4 linked regions of the Saccharomyces cerevisiae S288C genome follow. The gene in region 4 interacts genetically with the main gene of each other region. Each region holds a gene or a part of one and is shown on either strand. Other genes may lie near its edges.

What was found.
Region 1: mutations in ATG32 (region 4) and FRT1 together harm fitness more than expected from each alone (negative genetic interaction), as found in Saccharomyces cerevisiae (2 studies listed by BioGRID).
Region 2: mutations in ATG32 (region 4) and MCX1 together harm fitness more than expected from each alone (negative genetic interaction), as found in Saccharomyces cerevisiae (2 studies listed by BioGRID).
Region 3: mutations in ATG32 (region 4) and PTP1 together harm fitness more than expected from each alone (negative genetic interaction), as found in Saccharomyces cerevisiae (2 studies listed by BioGRID).

Annotation. Positions count from the first base shown.
Region 1 is NC_001147.6:921,652-927,965, reverse strand, and holds FRT1 (Frt1p), read left to right. Parts: upstream 1-2,925; coding exon 2,926-4,734; downstream 4,735-6,314. Other genes in the region: MYO2 (myosin 2), read right to left, coding at 1-2,245; PRO2 (glutamate-5-semialdehyde dehydrogenase), read left to right, coding at 5,061-6,314.
Region 2 is NC_001134.8:670,917-676,806, forward strand, and holds MCX1 (Mcx1p), read right to left. Parts: upstream 4,219-5,890; coding exon 2,656-4,218; downstream 1-2,655. Other genes in the region: YBR225W (uncharacterized protein), read left to right, coding at 1-2,413; SLX1 (endonuclease), read left to right, coding at 4,397-5,311; glucan 1,3-alpha-glucosidase ROT2, read right to left, coding at 5,441-5,890. UniProt on the Saccharomyces cerevisiae protein: ATP-dependent unfoldase that stimulates the incorporation of the pyridoxal phosphate cofactor into 5-aminolevulinate synthase (HEM1), thereby activating 5-aminolevulinate (ALA) synthesis, the first step in heme biosynthesis. Up-regulates heme biosynthesis.
Region 3 is NC_001136.10:39,065-44,207, forward strand, and holds PTP1 (tyrosine protein phosphatase PTP1), read left to right. Parts: upstream 1-3,635; coding exon 3,636-4,643; downstream 4,644-5,143. Other genes in the region: BRE4 (Bre4p), read right to left, coding at 1-3,180; Hsp70 family ATPase SSB1, read left to right, coding at 5,001-5,143. UniProt on the Saccharomyces cerevisiae protein: Is not required for vegetative growth.
Region 4 is NC_001141.2:71,895-77,763, forward strand, and holds ATG32 (mitophagy protein ATG32), read right to left. Parts: upstream 3,880-5,869; coding exon 2,290-3,879; downstream 1-2,289. Other genes in the region: SLN1 (histidine kinase), read right to left, coding at 1-1,559; pantoate--beta-alanine ligase PAN6, read right to left, coding at 4,460-5,389. UniProt on the Saccharomyces cerevisiae protein: Mitophagy-specific receptor that recruits the autophagic machinery to mitochondria and regulates selective degradation of mitochondria.

The sequences.
Region 1 (6,314 bases), on a different chromosome or scaffold from region 4:
GGATCATTTTAACCACTGATATGATATCTTCTTCTGTAGTTTCCTTTTTTTTGAAGATTAGGTCCCACTGCTCATGTGGTATCAAGATGTAATATCTTAATACAAATTCTTCAAAAGTCCACCTAGAAGGAAACCCAGCACAAGATATTCTAATAGTTTCCAAAACACCACAGGCTCTGAGTTGAGACAACACCATCAAATTATCAAATTGCCAAGCTTCTTTATCTGCATTAGGCTTTATACAACGAATATAATGAACATTAGTTGAGTTGATGGTATTCATTAGTTCAATCAAAGATTGCTTAAACATGGAACCTAAAGTGGGTTTCCTGTTAACCGTTCTTATCGGACCTGGCTTTTTACTGCCAGCCTGCTCTAATTCAAGCTTTTTCGCTTCTTCCAGTTTTTTGGCAGCTTTTTCTAATCCCTCTAAGATATTTATTAGTGTCTCGTTGGTAGAAGCCTTCAACACTTCCAAATGTCCGTCAGATACGGTGTCTCTATTTTTTTCAATAAATCCTTCCACATCATAAGCGACATCTAGAGCATAATGGCTCACGATAAATTTAGTTTGCCCGAATCTTGGTTTAGAAAATACTTTGTTCGTAGGAGATTTATCCAAAGTTTGATAAAGTTTTTGGGTCCAAGATTCGTCGGAACCAGCAGGTAACCTACTTTCTTCGTCAAGCAGTGATAAAATACCCAACTTGTTTTCAATCAGATCAATACAAGGTTGATTATCATTAAACTCTATAAAAGACCATTCAATTTCTTCTTTAACGTATTCTTCTTGCTCTAATTTGAAAACATGTTGGTTGAACTCTTGTTGTAGTTTTTCGTTGGCATAGTTAATACAAAATTGTTCAAATGAATTTTTTTCAAAATGTTCAAACCCATAAATATCCAGAACACCAATAAATGAGCTAATTTGGTCGTTCACAGCCGGGTTGCATAACACGGTGTTGATATTTTCCACAAGCCAATCGAAAAGGGCGGAATAAATAAACTTAGCCACGGAATCTTTGGCAACCAGAGCTTGACTATAATTTAGATTCGAAACAATTTTCTCTGACCTTGTAATGATCTGCTTTTTGGTGACCCATTTGGCAAAGTTGTAGGCATCAATTCCCAGCAATTCGCACGCCAGTTTCAGGTTTGGCTCATCAGCTGATAGTGATGCATCATTTCTAGTTTTTTTAATTTCTATGTTACCGATATGCAGAAGTGCGGCCAAGATCTTAAATATTTGGTGTTGAGTTTCCTTGGTGATTCCGACTAATGTCAATGCATCTACTGTAATTTTGTATTCTTTGGCATCATCAATACCGTTGATCTTGGTGTCACCGCCTTGGTTCATGTAGAAGTAATCTGAGGCATCGGTAAGATGCAATTCCTCCTTGGTTTGAGCTGGTAATCCAGCCATTAATTGATAAAATATGTGGTAGTTTCTCTCAATTGGCGGCTGGTAAACTAATCTGGACCGTTCCAACAAGTATGTGCGGATCCTTGCTCCAATAATAGATGTGTCCTTATCGAATAAAATTTCTAGATACTTACCAAATCTGGAAGAATTGTCATTTCTGGTAGTCTTAGCATTACCAAATGCTTCCATGATAGGGTTTGTAGCTAGAATCTTTTGTTCTGTTTCCGACATTTCCACTTGATGTTGTACAGTAGCGGAATTTTCCTCTTCTACAGAAGCAAAATAACGCATAATATACTTGGCAGAAACCGTTTTTCCAGCACCAGATTCACCACTTACCACAATGGTTTGATTTTGTTTGTCATTTTTCATCAACCTATACGCTTCTTCGGCAATGGCAAACAAGTGAGGTTCCAGTTCACCTCTGCGCTTTCCCGCATATGCTTGGATCATGTCTTGTGTATAAAGCTGGTCGACACGATCAAAAGGGTTTGTAGCAATCAGAACAATACCCGAGTATGTGTAGATATTCAATTGAGAATAGCGCTGTTTGATGGCATGTAAAACAGCTGGCTCATTCAAGTAAGATAAAGAGGTCAAATCTTCCGTTGCTTCCAAAATGGGAGGGTTTCTAAGAAGCGGTAGAGATTGGTCCTTATCGTTATTCAAGTCTTTTGTGTCCACGGACACGATTTCATCGTCTTCCAATTGTAACTCCAGGTGGTACTTGCCGTCGTTGAACTCATTTTTGATTACTTCCGCCCCAATCCAGCCCAATTCTTTATGGGGATACCAGCATCGTGTACCCACTTCAAAAGACATTATACGCTGTAATATCTGCTGTTTTTATGTCCTATATGTACAATGGTATAAGTATCGCTGTCCAATGGAATGGTGTCGAATAGTACCTTAGAAAACAAAAAACAAGCAAGCAGCCAGAAATCGAACGAATAATTTCAAGCGAGAAAAGTGAAATGACTTTGCGAGACTTTTTTGTTCTCTGATTGGCCTTGCAAAGTTGATAGATCTCTGAAACGCAGGCTACGAATCGTATCAAATGAAGGCGTGTTTGGGATTTCTGATATTTGGCTTTTCGAGAAGCGCGATCATAAACAAAAAAAAGGAAAAAATCACAAAATAGCCCTGGGTCGGGTAATAGTTTTTGCCCTACGTTTTCGTAAATGTGTCACTAGGTGCAATTGCCAATAATTAATTGTAACCTACTCAATATCTATTTTAGCCCTACATACGTTAGGGTCGAAAATCTGTTGGGGTTTTGGTTTTAACAGCGTAAACTAAACCAGATAAGCATCGAGAAACGGCGCTTGGCACATCGTATATCAACAAGACAAACCAGTGACCGGAGTTCTGAGGCGTCTTCGAGCCTATTTATTTATTGATCTGGGTCGGATAGTTCACCCTATTTGTGGAGGAAAAGACCTTCCCATATCTAAATTTTTTTTTTTTTTTGGTTTAAGTTATAGTTGATACATTAAGTGAAAATGAACTTGCTAATTGACCGGATGGAGAATCCCGGATCGAGGAACTGTACCCTGTTACCTCCTTCATTCCCAAGAGGCTTTTGTAAGGGAAGAAGGGCTTCCAGTGGCGACGCAGTGAAGATAAAAGAATCCGGTCTACAGCCGCAGCCGCAGCCGGAACCTCTACAAGCTAAAACAAATGTTGCACACTTTTCGAAATCATCTTCTAGATTACCTGTCATAGCAGTGAATGATAATCCGGTGGTCCCAAGACCAAGCACTGAAGTAAACTTGGGATCGTTGTTACAAAAGGAAAGGGAGAAAGAAAAGGAGGAACAGCCTGCGCTGCATGATAGGAGACATTTATATGTGACAAAGAATAGGGCACATGGGGTACGACAACGTTCATTGGAAATGACTAGCTTACCTGTCCTGGGATCGACCAAAACCGGGAAGTTTAGCGATTTTTTGTTTGAAGATGACATCGATAACAGAGTAGGTCGACACAGTAGATCATATAGTGGGGCATCCAGTTTGGATGATCCATTCAGAGTGTCGCCGAAAACCGACTTCAACTCTAATAGGGCCAGATTGTCTTGCCTTAGTAAAGGACGTCGTGGTTCGATGTCCGTTTTCCAAAGCTGTCATACTGGGCTAGCTTTCAATCAAATACAGGGTTCCTCCTCTTCGCAACGTAGATCATCCGCTGGTTCTTTTGATTATGAGAGGAAACGATTGGTTAACCAATTTTTACAGCCTTCTTTGGGAAATTCAGACCCATTTGATACGTTGAGGGAGTCGGTAGTGTTTGAGCCCTCATCCACCGCTGGCGGCATTAAATTAGGGAATATGCATTCTCAATCACAAATTTCCGTAAACTCCTCCCCCAGCACATCTTTGTTTTATCATGATTTGGACGGTTCTGCTGTCAACGATTCTTCGTCATTTCTGTATTCCCGTTCTAATGTACCAGCATTTTTGTCGTCATCAGCCTTTTCGTCCACGTCATCCACCTCATCAGATTCAGAAGATGTGGATAGAAGAAGTTTAAACGGTGTATATCCCTCTTTAGGATATTTGACTAACCAGAGGAAACCAAGGAATTCATCAGGCTCTTCCACTGCACCTGGCACCGATACCTTGGGATTTAAGTATTTACTGAATAGGCAGAAGTCAGCGGATTCTTCCACTAGGTTCAAGAGTGTACTGAAGGTGAACAATAATAATGGCTCCGCAGCCACTCCTGATTCTAGCTCAAACTCTATTTCGAAGAGCAACTCAAATTTGAATGATAACATTGATGAATTGAATTATTATCAAAATCATATTTCGACACTTCTAGTGAAGATCGAGAATGAGATGAGAAGAAATTTAAACGATACAATAATCAAGAATGAAAACAACGTTCAAAAAACTATCCAAAAGTATGATCTTCTATCAGGAGAGTTAACCCTTTTATTAGACGAAATGACCACCTTGCGAACCACGGTGATTAATCAATTCTTGGTCAAGTTGAAATCAGACTTTGACGAGGATGACAATAAGGCGTTTATTAATGAATTAAAGATATCAGTCGAAGAAAGTGTAGCGCAATTACAAGGATTGGAAAGGAGAATGGAGGTTTGCCAAGAGAGATTAAATAAACAAAAGTCCTCTCTAAGGGAAATGGATAGTTTGATAGAGCTGAAAAACGTGTTAAATAAATCGAAGAACAACACGAAATCCATCTACCTGTATAGGTATTTCATCATTGACATTATTGCATTTCTTTTGATGGGCGGCTTTATCGTTTACGTCAAGAATTTGTTAACTCGTTTTTTTACTCGTTAAAAAGTCAAAACAAGGTCACTTTACAAAAATGGTACGCGTACAAAGATAAAATCACCTCTGAACATAATAATATACATCTATATACATATATATATATATATATATCACACATCAATCAACGCGCATGGACATTTGAATCAATGGGGCAGGAAAGGCGATGCAGTGGCCAAATTTCTTTGTTCATTTGTGGCGTTGGGTCAATGAGTCAAAAAATGAAAAAAGTCGACAGACGTTTTTCAAAAAGCTTCAAGAAAAGAAGAGAAAAAGTAAAAGCGTATTGGTAAAAAGAGTAAGAACAAAAAGGAGCACAGGCAACCAATATAAAGATGTCCAGTTCACAACAAATAGCCAAAAATGCCCGTAAAGCAGGGAATATTTTGAAAACCATCTCAAACGAGGGCAGATCAGATATTTTATACAAAATTCACGATGCCCTGAAGGCTAATGCGCATGCCATTGAAGAAGCGAATAAAATCGATTTAGCTGTTGCCAAAGAGACTGGCCTAGCGGATTCTTTATTGAAACGTCTCGACCTATTTAAAGGGGACAAATTTGAAGTTATGTTACAAGGTATTAAGGATGTAGCCGAACTAGAAGACCCTGTTGGCAAGGTTAAAATGGCCAGGGAATTAGATGATGGCTTGACGTTGTACCAAGTAACCGCTCCAGTCGGCGTTTTGTTAGTTATCTTTGAATCCCGTCCAGAAGTTATTGCCAATATTACCGCATTGAGTATCAAGTCTGGTAATGCTGCAATTTTGAAGGGTGGTAAAGAGTCTGTGAACACGTTCAGAGAAATGGCAAAGATCGTTAACGACACCATTGCACAATTCCAAAGTGAGACTGGTGTTCCTGTGGGCTCTGTGCAATTGATCGAAACCAGACAGGATGTTTCCGACTTGTTGGATCAAGATGAGTACATCGACTTAGTTGTTCCTCGTGGTTCCAATGCCTTAGTCAGAAAAATCAAGGACACTACAAAAATTCCCGTGTTGGGTCATGCGGATGGTATCTGCTCAATTTACTTGGATGAAGACGCAGATTTGATTAAGGCAAAAAGAATTAGTTTGGATGCAAAGACTAACTACCCAGCTGGTTGCAACGCTATGGAAACGTTGTTGATTAACCCAAAATTCTCTAAGTGGTGGGAAGTTCTGGAAAACTTAACTTTGGAAGGCGGAGTGACTATCCACGCTACAAAAGATTTGAAAACTGCGTATTTTGATAAACTGAATGAGTTAGGGAAATTGACAGAAGCAATTCAATGCAAAACCGTTGATGCTGATGAGGAGCAAGATTTTGATAAGGAATTTTTATCCTTGGATTTGGCTGCCAAGTTTGTTACATCTACAGAATCGGCCATTCAACATATAAATACACACTCTTCGAGACATACCGACGCTATTGTAACGGAAAATAAAGCAAACGCTGAAAAATTTATGAAGGGTGTCGACTCCTCTGGTGTTTACTGGAATGCATCAACTAGATTTGCCGATGGTTTCAGGTACGGTTTTGGTGCTGAAGTGGGTATTTCTACCTCTAAGATTCACGCCCGTGGTCCAGTTGGCTTGGACGGTCTG
Region 2 (5,890 bases), on a different chromosome or scaffold from region 4:
GGATGACTTGTTCTCAAACTCGTCAAGACGATCATCTGACTCCGCTGCCTCATCCTCAGTATCCAAACTGAAGTCCGCTCAGCTTTCCAAAATAGGTCTACATCATCATCATACAAGTAATAATAAACATAGTCATAGAAGCGGAACTCCGACTTCCGAAGTGAAAGCTAATTACTCACCAGACCCTTCTGCACCGCGATTCATTGTATCCAATATGGTCGGCAATGGCCGGGGAGGTGGTGGTCTACACGGTGCAACTTCGAACGTTGTCAAGAAACTCCATTCTAGAAAAAAATGGGACTGGAACACTTTACCGGCATCAGATTCTTCTCTTCTAATCAAAACCGTTTCAGGAAATCATAATTTAATCAACATTTGCATAGACGGTGAATTCAAACAAATAATGTACGACCCGAATCATAATGAGCTCTTTAATAGAATGGACTTGTTTCTATCTTTTAACATGGACTCCTCGCCAGAAGACTCTTTAATATTTGCCAAGAAAAGATTACGGTCGTACATTGATTTCCTAACAAAATATTTGGAATCTAGGAAATATGCATTTGAATGTTATCCATTTAACATTGAAAACATCATAAATATAGAGACTGAGGTTAAATGCTTTCCATCGTTTGACCCGTTAAAAGATTATTCTGAAATTGAATCCTTGATTCAATTATGGTTGGCTCAATCTCAAAAATTTTTACTGCAATCAAATTCATTCTTCTTTTCATCTGAAGTAGTGGAGGAACTAATAAAAAGAAAACCAACCACAAGACAACATTCTAATCCAACAATCAGCACCACCAGCAACAAGATCAGTGACCCTACATTATATATTCAGCAGTTAGATATAGAAGCAAACTCTCCAAGGCCAGTAATATCGGATCCATTAGACGAAATTGACATCTTATTAATAAGACCGCTGCATAAAACCCTGGGCGGTTGGCAGCTGGCGTATGATGAACCAAGCTTGAACATCGCAGATTTCGCATTAGATTTATCTCCCTGGATGATTGACAGCAGTGACAATGACGCTCAGAATAAGAATGCTAGTGAAATTGCTCCTGAGTATTTAACAAACTTACAAAATTATTTGCCACGAAAGGGTTCAAGAGCGAAAATAGTTTCTGACGAACAAGAAGTTATCGAATTGAATTCTTCCAATGCTTCAGAGTATATGTATGATTGCATGAATAGAAAGTTCTTTACAGATGATGCAAAAGAACGTATTTCTAGAAACAACTTCAATCAGGGAGTTGAGGAAGACCCTCTAAACGACCAATTCGCTTCAAGTAGATCTTTATCATTGCCGTCCTCGGGAGCAGATGCTGTCAAAAGGAAGAAGAGCCCTACCAAGGCTACTAAAAAATCTGGTTTCGTCAACTTTTTCAAGAGAAAGCATTCTCAACTTGCATCAACTTCACATACTACAAGCCCTTCAGTTTCACCTAGCATATCTTCTTCTTCTTCTCCAAAAATTCAACCACAGTCACATATCTCTAGTCCCCCTCGGACAGAGAAAGCTCCCCATGTCAAATCAGCCAACCAAGCACATCAAAATGAATGGTTGGAGAATTTTTTTTGCCGGACTTTGAACAACTACAAAGAAATCGATTTACCGACCCAATTTATTTTGCCAAAGGAAGTGAAGAGGTCCTCTAATGCACAACTTCAGCCTGAAGATGAACCACCTTTGTCATCACCAATATCCTCTAATTCGGATAACTCCTTTCCAAATGAAGGACTTGACAGGGCAAAAAGCGCAGCTATTTATGGTAAAGAATATTTAAAATTAAGACTGCCGTTTGCATCAGACACTATACCTGCTGTAATATGCCCGTGGGTCTGGACAAGTTTAAGTTATTATAAATGGAAAGCTCTACTTAGGGAAATATACAGATCAATAATTCCTGGCGGGTACGCGCTGGCAATTGTTCCAGATTTAAGGATTTCAAACACATACTATACTGGAATTCTTGGCAACGCCGATGCCGAAAAAGCAAATAATTCATCAGAAGAGTTTTTGACTACAAAAGAACGGGACAAGACATTTGATGCTATGGCTATTGATGCGATAAATAAAGGCTTACATATCCATCCTACAAAACACTTAACGAGGACATTCAAGGATGTAGGGTTTACAGGCATCAAGTCCTCGGTCCTAAGTTTGAAAACTGGTGACTTCAAAACAGATATGGGCTTTTTGAATGAATTTAATTCTTTAGATATGTGGGACTACATGTTAAGGAGGCAACTACCAGATAGTAGTTGTCCTCCAAAGGATACCGACCCCACCACTCTTTTCAAAAGATATGTGGAAGAACACATAGGAAAAATCGATGACAACGCTGGCTGCTTTAGAACTTTGTATGTGGTGGCGCAAAAGCCAAAGCTGCCATATACCAAATAATTGTGCCGCCGTTCCAATTTTTTTTTAAATTGTTCAAGAATTACTTCAATTTTTACTACTGGACAAAAAGCATTATGATAAGGAGTAGTCTCCCAGTATCGTAGAACCAATTTGAAACACTTTAGCCAATATTTATTAATTTTTTTTACTTCCCATGGCATAGTACTTTGTAGGAAGATTATTTGTTCATTTACTACATTTATTACATCTATATTTATATATTCTATACCATTCATTTTTTTTTATGTTAAGCTTCTCTTGGGAATTGTTGGGGTATGAATGTTAGCAGAATGACCCAACTCTTTTTCTAGCATAACTCCTAATTTTTTATCTTCTTCAGAAACGTCACGAATTAAACTGTCCTTTTCATCACCAGAATAGTATTTTACGTCCACTTGGGAAGCCAAAGAGTGCTCTGTTTCCTGTAACGAGTCGACAGTAGCTTCGTCGATTAAAACGTATGCTATGTTAGAACCCGGGCAATCATAATTAACGTTTAGCAGAAGTCTTTCCATTATCCCTCTCAACCCTCTGGCGCCAGTTCCTTCCTTGAGAGCAAATTGAGCAACTTTCTTTAGCGCCTTTTGTGTAACACACAATCTTACCCCAAATTGCTTAAAAATATATTCATATTGATCCAATAAGGCATTTTTAGGTTCTTTTAATATATGAAATAAATCGTCTCTTTGTAGAGGCTGCAGAGCAGTTATAATTGGGACTCTGCCAATTAATTCAGGAATTAGACCAAAGCTAACTAAATCTGTGGGGGTGGTCAAGTCTAAAGCACACACTTTTTTTCCGTTATCTAATTCAACCTGCTCAAGCGTATTGCTAAATCTGAACTTCTTCGCTCTTTCTTTTTCAACTTCTTTACTATTCGATGATTCAACAGACTCTCCTGCCTTCTGTATTTTCTTCATATCTTCTATCCTTTTAACAATATGCTTATCTAAACCAACAAAAGCTCCCATAATCATGAAAAGAATATTTGAAGTGTCTACAACAAATACTTCGTCCTTCTTTGTTGTAGTTTGATTTTTTTGTCCGTCAATATCATGCTTAACAGGCCTTTTAACGGTAATTTCCACTTTATGGCCCTCAATGATTTTCAATAATGACTGTTGAACCCCTTCTCCGGACACGTCTTTAGTGCCAATGCTTGCGGCAGGCTTGGCTAGTTTATCAATCTCATCAAGAACAATAATACCTTTTTCTGCTCTCGCAACATCAAATTCAGCATTTACGAGCAATCTTTCAATGCATACTTCAACATCTTCACCTATGTAACCTGCTTGAGTCAATTGTGTACAATCTGTAATTGCAATTGGAACGTTTAATATTTTCGCCAATGTTGTTGCCAACAAAGTCTTACCAGAACCTGAGGGACCAACGACAAGGACATTACTTTTGCTTAACTCTAAATCTTCGTCAACCTCTCTACCTGCTAAATTAAACTGTCTTTGAAGATTCCTCCAACCAGCCTTTGATTCGCTGTTTCCACTGAAAATTGGTTCATCCCTATCATCCGCGATTTTCTCTCGTTCCATCAATTCTCTCTGCCTTTGTAATTCCCCTTTCTTTTGCTTGTCATTGATTCTTAAATAGTGATTATAAACTGCCACGCTTAAAACCTTCTTACCAATCTCTTGACCAACAATGTACTCATCGAGGAATTTCTTCAATGCTTTTGGAGTGGGTATATTCGATAAACGAGACTGTGCCAGTTTCCCTGATGCTGTAGCAGCATATCGACCAATTCTACTAGAATAAGCTCTAAAAAAGTTTTGGCTTGCAGATTTCAACATGAGTGTGAAATGTAATTAGAGTGCCTTGTCTTCTATGGTTTTGTTTGATGAGCCGTTTGCTTTTCTTTTTAATTTTAATATATACCACTGATGACTTATTCCCTTCTATCATCGAAAAAATATTGTCAAATTAATGTTCTCTTTTTTCAAAAAATATTAAAAAGATAAGAAAGGTACCATGTCGCAGAAAATACAGCAGCATCAGTTTCCTGATTTTTATTGTTGTTATCTACTACAATCGATTAACAAGAGGCAATCATTTTACGTTGGATCAACTCCTAACCCAGTACGACGTTTGAGGCAGCATAATGGGAAATTGGCTGTTGGAGGGGCATATCGAACCAAACGTGACGGTTCAAGGCCCTGGGAAATGATAATGATTGTGCGGGGCTTCCCAAGTAAGATAGCAGCTTTACAGTTTGAACATGCATGGCAACATGGGTACCAAACGCATTATATTGCCGAAAAAGATCGTGTTGTAAAGCATAAAGCAGGTGGAAGAACTTTACATCACAAAGTTGCATTAATGAAGTTACTTTTAAAGCATGAATTTTTTCAAAGGATGAACTTGATAGTCGAGGTTTTTAATATAAAGGCTTGGGAGGTTTGGAAACAGGACAAATTTTTTATTGAAAGAGACAGATTTCCGATTAATATACAAATAAATGAAAATGCGCTTGAAGAACCAAAGGAGAAAACTGTGGATGTTCTCATGGATCATAGTGATGAGAATTTAAAAGTGGTGGAAGCTGTATACACTAAAGTCATTGAAAATGAAAGAAACATATTCGAAACTTTCGAAAAGAAACTAACTACAGGGGTAGTGCGATGTGAAATTTGTGAGAAAGAAATTGACTACACGTCTGAAGAGCAAAATCTGAAGCCGTTTGTAGCGCTTTGCAATAATAAAGACTGTGGGTGTGTTAACCACTTGAAATGTCTTCACAGGTACTTTCTAGATGATGAACAGTTGATGGTAGGGAGAAGAAATTTGATACCTCGAGGTGGGAAATGTCCGAAATGTGATATGTTTTGCGACTGGACGACCCTAGTCAAGTTTTCGACAAGAATGAAGTTAGCTCACGGGAAGTAGGGCCTGACACAATTTTCGGTTCTTTTTTTTCTATAGATAATGGTTATATGTTATATTTACGGATATTTTTACGTTTACTTTGTAAGAAAGAGCTAAAAAGATGTAAAGATATCACTTCGTTTTTTTCCCTCAAAAAATAACTTCCCAATCTTCAGTTATGTCAAGCGATAGGTTAAGAATGGTGATCTTATTATCATTCTCATATGACGATCTAGTCGGCAATGAACTTTCTTCGCCATTTTTTTTGACTTTAATACTGTCTTTCAACGTTATGTTGTGTTGTAAATTATTCTTTGCGATAATGATTTTTTCAATATTGGTATTCCTCAAAGTATTGTGGTGAATGCCTGTCAAATTCTCGGGAATATGACTTCGAACATTTTTTAAGGTATTGTTTTCGAAAATGAACTGAGTTTCTACGTACTCACCTCTTTGGTAGCCAAAAGTTTCTCCATCATCAACATAAAGATCTCCAACGGCTCGTCCCTCGGTATCAGGGGCTATAACTATTACATATGGATCGTTTTTCATTAACATTGAAGATCTTCTATACTTATCTTTCATAGTGATAATGTGACC
Region 3 (5,143 bases), on a different chromosome or scaffold from region 4:
GTATATTTTCTTGAATAGGTTCTTCTCCATAGAATTGCCTCCTGAATTTAAATTCGAATGTGATTGGTCCTTCATTTCACTAAATTTCTTGATGAAGTGGTAAAGTTTTTTACGTGACATAATTGGATTTGGCAAGTATCGCGGTATCTTGTTTTTTGATCTGAAACAATTGGATAAAATGTAAAAAACGAAAATCACTGATGAGACACTATCTCTTCGTAGCGATAGTAAGGCTCTCGTGGTTTCAATATCAAAATCCTGATCCCAAATTTCAAAAAATGCACCTGAAATTCTCGCTTCAATGATCTTAGATAACAAAAATTGGCATGAATTGATTAGACTTGCGTACTTCTCAGGATTGAAGTTGGAAATAATGATTGGCTCATGACGGGCTTTCTTCAAAAGTTCCCTGATTGCTTCAAGACTTTGAGTCAGTCTAACTTCACGAATGTGGGAAAATGCGAAAGTTAAATCAGTAGGTGCGTCGTCGGCATCCCTGTATAAATACCGGTCCGCCACGGTTTGGTAGGACTGGCCCAAGTGTGCCAGTAATGATGACATACTATCTCTTAGTTCTGTCCTAGCTCTAAAGGGCCACACTATCCAGTTGATGGGAATCGAAACCAAAATACCGATAATAAGTGCCAAGCCTGTAACCCACGTAGATTTCCATATTCCAGCGGTGGTTAAGTTATAATGTCTATTAGGTTTGCTGTATGGTTCAAGAGCAATTATGGTAAAGCACATTAATGCAGTGAAGCTCGATTTGGTGTTTCTATAGACAAGAAAGTTGATGCTAAATGGGACCACGATCAGACCAGCAAACGTGCAAACCACGTATGGACTACCAAAATGTCTCGATTGGTTGGCAGCCCACCCCCAAAAGATACCTACTATACCACAGATTAATCTCCTCATTACCAACGCCCAGTTACCAGAGTATCTTCTATGTGCTAATAAGTAAAACGTGAGTGGGGCCCACCAACAATGAAATTCTTGGTACCAGTGATAGGATTCAGGTAGCCAAGTTGGTAGACACAAAAATATCATACAAAAAGTAATCTTTAGTGTCCACTTACATTCATCACCAGATAAAATTCTACTCAATTTCCATAGTTTAAATCTCCAAGGATTTTGAGTTGTATGAAAATTGAAGTCGTTGTGATCAATTGCTCTGATGGAAATAGTGTGGTTTTTGCGATTCTGTGACTTTTCGTCACCACCTTGTGAATCAAGTCTCAGCGCTTCTTCTTCGCCTTTGTTATACTTGTGTCTTGACGTGTAGGTGTTATAAACTCTTTCAAAAATTTCATCGACATCACGTTTGGCCTCAAAATAATGAAGAACATTTCCTGCACCTTCATCGAGAACACATTGTTTGGGCAATCTTGTCAACGCACGAGACAGTGGATATGATGGCAGAGCAATTCTCCAGTGAATATTCTCACCCAAAACTTGGCAATCGTGGATAACAGTAACTAGCTGCCTTGCGGAGTTTCTCAAATATCTTAGAAAAAGGAAAATATCGACAGACTCTTCGTCATTCAACAGTTCCTGTGAAAAAAAACTAGAATTCACAAAATCCCTGTAACAAACATCTAGTTTGTAAATTTTCCTCTTTAATTTAGAATGCGAGTGACTTAATATTTTGACACACTCATCTAAGTTGTTTTTTTGATTTGGAGACTCGTATTTCTTTAGTACTCTTGATAGATTTTCCAAAACGAAGATCATTTCCAGTATTAAGTTGAAGATGCTTTTCGAGAAGGACGCCTTTAATGCATTAATGTAGATTTCATTTTTTAAAAGCCCCGGACCGATAGGCTTAAAGGCACTGGGCGTGTTTTCTCTTGTTGGAATTCCTGAAGATTGAGGGCTAGCGCTTGCTTCTTTGCTCAGGGTCGCAGAATCCGATCTATACTTCTCCAATTCTTCATACATCTTTTTCAATTCATCATCATTAAAAATTTTGGGTGCAATGGGTAATACTCTCAGAGAAGTTTCCATGGCAGTTAAAGAATTTCTTAAACTCTTCAACGATTGAAGGTCAAACCTGGAAATTGTCAACTGATTTACAAAATCTCTAAAACCTTGAGATAAATCAATGTTTAGTGTTTTCACCATTTTTACTTGGGCTAGGTAAATTTGTTCTTTGGACTTTATTAATTCAGTATCTACTAGTGCCATTAAAAAGGTCTTTGTGGTCTGTAGACACTTGTTATAATGTTCCATTAACTCTGCATTGCCACTATGTGGTGATACACATACACAAACCAAGAGAGATAGCAAAAGGCCGAAGAGATATGAGATTCCAAAATCCCAAAAAATTTGCCACTTCAAATCAAACTTGGATGAGGCCAACCGAACTGTATGAGTGAATATAATCGATATCGAAAACGAAGTTGTGAAATAGAAGAACCGACGGTAAACAGACCTTAGCCAGATGGCAAATAAGAGGGCCATAGTCAGACTCTGAAATAAAATTCCTCCCTGGTAGTTTGCGGTCGGCTTTGTCGCTGTGGAAATGTACCATGCCAAAGCCGACCATCCCAGGCCAAAACTTGCGCCGATAATGGAGCTTATAGTCATTTCCAGTTGAACACCAATATTTCTGACCGGATGATGTATAAGTACTGCGATGGGTAGAAAATACCTGAACTCATGGCCAATCCACCTACCAGAAGGCCTGATAACGCAAATCACGATAGCAATGAAATAAGCAATAAAAAACTTGAATATGGATACCCCATTTTTTCTAATATCTCTAGGGAAATGAATAATGGGCCTGTAGATAGCAGTCCAAACATATTCGGAAAGCTTGGTAAAACCAGATTGCAGTTTTTTCCTTGCAGCGCCATTGTCGTCATCGATGTCGCTGTTAGGAGACCTAGCTTTGCTGTCCGGCTTGGTAAAAGCAGCATCAAAAAACCCATCTCTCAGCTCTTCCAGCCCAAAGTCCTCTACTTCCTCCCAGTGTTTGTCCTTAACCAAATTTTCCAGCCGCATTTGCGATAAGGATGCCACGGATTGTTGTGGGCTTCCTGCAAAGCTAAGCCCGCTTATACCGGCAGGATTCTTATAGTTAAGTTCATGTAGTGACCTGAGTGATGTTTGAGAGTATGAACCTTTCACAATATCAGGATCAGGAGTGGGACTTCGATCTCGCTCATATCTTTTCATGAGGACCTGTTACAATTCCAGCACTATACTGTACATGCTTTCCTTAGTGGAGCACAAAGCAAGTTAAAAATGAACTTTAAATTGATTAAAGTGTTAGTGACGCTTAAACTCGTTTTCCTGCGCGTATTTCACGCAATCTATACATAATCATCTTTGATAATGTTATATCGCCTTTCATTTCCAGATTTTGTTCACTGAAAAGTCTTATCGGAAACCTAACTTTGGGCGACAGGGTTATTGTTTATAATTTGTAGGTGTTCCATTTTTTTCTTTGTACTTTTTTAGGTTAACGTAATATTTAATTAGGTCATTTTTAGGGCGTTTAGTATTAGAAAAATTCATTTGTACACACTATTAAGAGGAAGGCAAACTATATTTACATTTTATTGAGGAAAAGGGTTCATCGAGGAGTTATCAAGAAAAGCGTTTGTTAGTAGTAGTTTGCGACAGTGGAGATGGCAGCTGCACCATGGTATATTAGACAGCGTGACACGGATTTATTGGGTAAATTCAAGTTCATACAGAATCAAGAAGACGGCAGATTAAGGGAAGCTACAAACGGAACGGTGAATTCACGATGGTCGTTGGGGGTCAGCATAGAACCTCGTAACGATGCTAGAAACAGATACGTTAACATTATGCCGTATGAGAGGAACCGCGTTCATTTGAAGACTCTATCCGGGAATGATTACATTAATGCCTCGTATGTCAAAGTGAACGTGCCAGGGCAGAGCATCGAACCGGGCTACTATATTGCTACTCAAGGTCCCACGCGTAAAACTTGGGATCAGTTTTGGCAAATGTGCTATCACAATTGTCCTTTAGACAATATTGTCATTGTGATGGTCACGCCTCTGGTAGAATACAATAGGGAGAAGTGCTACCAGTACTGGCCTCGCGGTGGTGTAGACGATACGGTTAGAATAGCATCAAAATGGGAAAGTCCGGGCGGCGCCAATGATATGACTCAATTTCCCTCTGATTTGAAAATAGAGTTTGTTAACGTACATAAGGTGAAGGACTATTATACGGTCACCGATATCAAACTCACACCCACGGACCCTCTTGTAGGACCTGTCAAAACTGTTCACCACTTTTACTTCGACCTTTGGAAAGATATGAACAAGCCAGAGGAAGTAGTACCCATAATGGAATTATGCGCTCACTCCCACAGCTTGAATTCCCGCGGGAACCCCATTATCGTACACTGTTCCGCAGGCGTGGGCAGAACGGGGACGTTCATTGCCCTAGATCATCTCATGCATGATACCTTGGATTTTAAAAATATTACAGAACGGTCAAGGCATTCAGACAGGGCTACAGAGGAGTACACACGGGACTTGATCGAACAGATCGTGTTACAGTTGCGCTCGCAAAGAATGAAAATGGTTCAGACAAAGGATCAGTTCCTATTTATCTACCATGCTGCCAAGTATCTTAACAGTCTTTCCGTGAACCAATAGACAGCTATATAAAAGTTCCTAATTGTGCATTTTTTCAATAACAATACTTATTCATCCTTATAATTATATTCTAGCTTCGTTGTCATGGGAACATAGCCCATACACCGCAGTTATTTATGATCATTTCGAACGGGAAGTATGGATGAATCTTTTTTTTTTTTTTTTTATAGCACGCAACTGAAAAAAAAAAAAAGAAAAATTTTTCATCTTCGCTCGACGTTTCTTTTGTAGTACTCATCTCTTTTTATATAAAGATTAATTAGTTATTGTCGCTTTGCTTTTCCTTCTTTAAAAAATGTTTCTTGCTTTTGGATTTTCAGATGTCCCAAGATCATTACAGTATTTTAATTGAACAAAATGGCTGAAGGTGTTTTCCAAGGTGCTATCGGTATCGATTTAGGTACAACCTACTCTTGTGTTGCTACTTACGAATCCTCCGTTGAAATTATTGCCAACGAACAAGGTAACAGAGTCACCCCATCTTTCGTTGCTTTCACTCC
Region 4 (5,869 bases):
TCATCAGAAAATAGTCTTCTATAATCTGGTAGCCTAGCTTCAGTTAAATTTGCAGAAGTTGTGAGAATGTGAGATCTATTGGAACTTCTGTCAGTGTCATTATGTCTCAAGGAATGTGGTCCAAGCAAATCGTGATTTAGCGAGCCATCCATTGATATTTTAGCATCGGTGTGGTTATTCGGTATTTTGTTCTCCTCCTCTGGAGGTGACATTTTCTCATTTCCAAGGTTTATAGCGCTTTTCATGCTACTATTTGCTGAAAAAGCTGCACCACTGCCATGGCCACTGCCTCCATGGCCACTTACGCTTGTGGTGCTGCCAGCTTCAGCAGTATTAAATTGTAATAACGAAGAAGGAACAGCAAATCCAGAACTAAATCCTCTTTTGAATGAACTGGCTCTGCTTATCGTTCTTGGGGTGCTCGGTCGAAGGCCTCTCCCCTCTGTAATTAATTCAGTTGCCTTTTGTAGACGTACAATTGGTTGCACTGCCCAGTGTGCTAGAGGAAGGGTTAACAAAATGACAAAGACACCAATAGCGATGACAGTGCCGGTGATGATTTTTGCTAGTTTCGTTGCTGGAGAAAGGAAAACCGACTCAGGCTGTGAAACTATCGCGACCCAATTAACTAGGTTAAACGAACATGGTGAATAGCCTAAAGCAGTATTCCGTGTAGAAAGGATATTGGTTTGTTTCAAAGACCCTCCCTTCCCGTTTCTAAATGCGCTACTAATGAATGTATCATTTTTTATAGAAAAAACTTTTTGCGGGAGGTCTGATCGTGATCCATACGGTGGAAAGACAAAATGATACCCTGAAGCTTTGCCTTGACTATTATATACTGCAGAAATAATGGCAATTGTGGAATGTTCTAAAGCAGTTGTATCGTTGAACACACTTTTCAGACCCTCTGCCGACATTATTATAGTAATGTATCCGTAAACCCTTGAATCAGTCAAGATAATAGAAGGATTGGCAAAAATAGGTAAAGACATAGACATCAAATAGTCGGTGCTATTTAGTACTGGATCCGTCAATATACCTATAGTTTCCAGTGAAGAAGGTAGCGGTGTATCGGTGGATAATGGGAACAAACTGTCTAAAACATCTTCTGGAATTAGATCACCAGTTCCATTATTCGTAGCGTTCAAAACAGCATTAAATGAAGAATCGTAAACTTTAGCAACATAAAACAAGTTTGAAGAGCTCAAAAATTTTTGAATCACACTCAAGGAATCTACCCAATTATCTGCACTCTTGTTACCTGCAACGTAACTTGTTAGTGAGCTTTGCAGGGCGTCTCTTGATGCCAAATAGTACGCCTGGTAATATAAGTAGTTTAGAGTTTGGTCAATCTGTGATGACTTTAACTGAGCGGCAATGTACAGTCTATCGGACCTTAAATTTTTATAGTTCGAGGTAAAATAGACCCCTGTCGTTACAGCCAGAATAATCAGTGAGCCCAAAGCCACTATACTAACTAGTGCCGTTAGTTGAGTTCGGATGCCTATCCTAAACGGAGGAGTGAGTTCCAATTTTGATGGCAGGCCAAATCGCATTTGTATTGTTAAATCAAAACAAAGTAGATTATACCCAACGTGTTCTTATTTCAATTCTATGCTTATTATAATTGGATGATAGATCTATAAGATCTTCTCCACTGCTGTTACCTGTCTTTATAGAATTCGTAGTAGGAAATGGAAAACAACAAACAAGGACAGAATCAAAACTCCGGACGGAATCTGCTAAAATGTAGTGAGTTGGCTTTTGTTCGTGCTGTTTTCGATGAACTATTAATCCCAAATTTATGTAGTAATAATCACTAAAAAATGCGAAGAGGAAATATTAACGCGCGGCGCAAAAAGATCGGGTAATTTGGGCGTTTAAGTACATGAAGGTAGAATATTTCAAATATGATGTCAAAGGCGATAATAGTAACTTCTAAATGCATTCACATTTACAGCGATAGTTTCCTTGAAGTCGTCGGAATACGCTCTATGCGCTATGGTTGATTTTTAATTGTTTTTTTGTGTTGAGACGCGAAAGTAAGGAATATATAAAGAAACTTAAATTTGCTAACAGAAGAAATATTTTATAAGCTGTTTGTTTATGTATTTATGAAACCAAACAAAAAATTGCCTGTATAATGAAAGAATTTTCATATTTGATAAGCTTCTATGTAATTAAGGAAAGGAACCAAACGGGGAATATAGATACGCAGTGAGAGAAACAGAAGTGATAGTAAAAAAGTGAGTAGGAACGTGTATGTTTGTGTATATTGGAAAAAGGTTACAATAGAATATAACCCAGTGCCAAAATCCGATTAGATTCATCAATGGAAAATTCAGAGCTTTTATTAAGGTTCTCCAAAAATTTTAAAGGTTTAGAAAGAGCATGCAAGACAAAAGTATTCATTTTGCCCCAAGTCTCCTTGATTATGGTAAGACTTTTCATAATGAATCCATCGGAGTGGAAGTTTATCTGAAGCGTACCCTTATCAAACCATAAAAACTGCTCAGTTGAAGAAGGAGATGCAGTGGCGGGCGTATTGATTGTGTCGCTAGAGGAATCTAAGGAAAGTAAAGAGGCCAATATGGAGGGCCGCAAACTTAAAGACTTAACTGTTTGGTGTTCGTATGCTGCAGTGACAAAGTATGTCACACAACATCCAAAACTAATTCCTATAGTAATTGAAATGCCCCAAGTGAACCAGCTCGTGAAGAACTTCTGCTTCTTTCTCTTGGGTTTTTTATTCGATTTAGGGGATTTCTTTTTTGAGTTTTCGGCTTTTTTGTTACGACAATAGGACCGAGACTTTGTATGTATAGCTTCGTCATCATTATCTTCCTCATTCACATCTTCTCCGTATTCCAAGGATAAATCTTGTAATCTTTGAAACATTTTTTTCAAATCTCTTTTGTTGGTCACAACAACTGGAGGAAACAATAATTTAACAAGTTTATTCCTTAAGAATGACTTCAGGACGTTTTTCACTTGGATGACTTGCCCAGGCTGGCAGATCGGTATTACAGGCTTGCCTTGAGAATATTGAACGATCCTGTTTAGCAGAGATACCATCTCTCTCAGCTCCTGAAAAATTATGACAATCCCCGTATATTGCGGGAATGTTGCGGAATCGTGATATTTGGGTAATTCAAAAAGAGATTGGTATTCTTTTGGTATTGATTGATAAAAGCTGGAACCAGTCCTTCCCAGTATTAGAAGGCGAAAAACTGGATTCTTTTGTGTTAGTGATAGTTTGGGCATAACAAAAGAGTTTGTCGAAGAAGTCAAGCTTTTTGTTATCGTCACACTATCTTCCTCAAAAGCCTCATCTTCATCACCATCATCATCTTGCTCGTTAAAAGGAGTTTTTTCCTTACCAGGCAAGGGCAGCGATATTATCTTCTGTAACTGTTTAAAGGGATGAGACGGTGAAACGACATTTGCTCCTTCTTGTCCTTGTTTAATAATATTTATTATATCAGCAGCAGGCGCTTGAAGCAGCTCTTGTTCTTCTTCAGAAGTATCACTAGATGATAGAATACTTCCATTAGTCGTTTGAGAAGAGCACCTTTCTGGGATGAAAGAAGCGCCCAAGTCCAAAGGCTGAATGGCTTGCCACGATCCTGATATACTATCGTTTACATTGTGGTTGCCGGATATGTCAATGGACGTAACCAAGTTCTGTCCCATTGGCGAAGGCGAATGCCCTGTCTTACTCAACAATTCCAATACTGATAGATGAGGGTCAAGTAAGCCTTTGTCTTCCCCAGTTTGTGCTTCAGAGCATGTGTGAATAGTCGTTGACGAGGAATCAGGTGGCATGCTTTTAGATGAGGATCCTTTACCTTCCCTTTGTTGGTATTCCAAAACCATATGTTTACTGTTCCTGGCAGATTTTTTTTGCTTTTGTGATTAGGACTTCAATATTGCTTATCGATAAGAGAAGTCACAACTGATAAGAAAAATTGTCAAAAACGAGAAATGGGCTTTGTAAGAAAATATTTCAACAATAACCCAAAAATATAGATTTTAAAAGTATAATGATTATGCCTCAGGAAGCTTACTGCACCTTATTTCCTAAATAACTTTTTTATTACTTAATAGATCTGTTTCTTTTTTTTTTTTTTGTAAAAGGGGTGCGTCAAACAATAGATATATGCTCTAGACAGACGGTGATCTAAGATATTTGAGAAAGCACGAAACAAGTGCCAAACAACTTCAACTTTGCTGAAGTAGTATAAACTTTGCTTTTACTATGCAAACTGTGAAAGACGATTTGTCCTTTCCATATTTGTGTTTTGAGCGATGGGGATGTCGTCCCTTCAGCCGTCTAAAAAAAAAGTCATCAAGCGTGAAATCTATCATCCCGTTGTTGGTTTAAAAGAATATCGTGCATACTGTATAAGAGTGGTATATACTGCAACACAGACACGGGAAGGCCCAATCACCTAGTTTAAATAACGATGTTATCTATTAGTCTGACGACCGTATCGGGTTTTTCGCGGTCAGTCACGTATACAGCACAACTAATGACTATTGGCTGCTGTTCGCTGGTGTTTTCAACATCGGAGAGTTCATCAAGAGTCTTAAAATCTGCTAAGGAAACATAGTCGATTTTGAAATCGTGGGAATCAACGTAGGGTGCCCATATTTGAGTCACAGTATCGATGATTTCTGATCTGGAGAGACGTCCCCCTGGTGCTAGTCTCCTAATAGCATTTTCCGCAGCTTTCAGCCCGCGGTAAAGGTTTTCAGAGATCTTTAAAGACTCTGGACAAAGATATTTGTTTCTACTACTCAGAGCCAGTCCATTATTGTTTCTTACAATAGGCATCATTTGTAGCCTTGTATTAACAAACAGTTCGTCCACCATACACTGTAAAACAATGAACTGTTGAATGTCCTTCTGCCCAAAATAAGCCACATCCGCCATAACGATATTGAATAGTTTAGTCACGACAGTTGCCACGCCCCTAAAGAAGTTAGGTCTCGTCTTCCCCTCTAATTTTTCACTCAATCCAAGAACACTAACAAAAGGGCCTTTCTGCTCTTCTATGTCGAGCGGAATTCCCTGTGGATACATCACGTGTGCATTAGGAGCAAATAGAACATCCACCTTCAACGACTCAAGCAATTTGATGTCGTCTGGCAAAGTTCGAGGATAGTTATCTAGATCTTCCGTTGGCGCAAACTGGGAGGGATTTACAAATATACTGACCACAGTATAGGTGTTTTCCTTCACAGACTGCGAGATCAAACTAGCGTGACCCGAATGCAGGCAACCCATTGTGGGAACGAACCCAATAGTTTCTCTAAATCTAGTTTCCCTCAGCTCCTGTGTTCTCCATTGAACAACTTCTTCGACAGTATGGAAGATTTTCATCAATTCTATATGGATATGCAGTATAAAAACTTGTATAAAACAGTGCAGTATCAACACACACCACTTCTTGTACACATAAATATGTACGCTACATCGAGAAATGTTCATTAATCTCTTGTTGGAAAATATGACAAAAGAAAAAAACTCGTTAAAGTAACATTTACCCGGATATCTGTTCAGCCAACATTATAAAAAAGATGGGCGCTTAATTTCCACTCTTACAGATATCACTCCTTCTAATTAACTTACATCAGTAAGAAAGTAAAAAGAGCAACAATTCGCCACAAGAAGGTCTCTGTAGGGTCAATAGTAGCAGGGCTCTTGTCAGGGAAAGACTGTGAATGCAAAGGAAAGACGGTTGGAGGTCCGAAAAGCATTACTGATGTTAGGATTGAAGAGAAATTCACCGTACTATGTGCCAGATGGTTATAACTGAACATTGAAATAATATCGTGATTATGGGCTGGTTGAGAGCCCCGT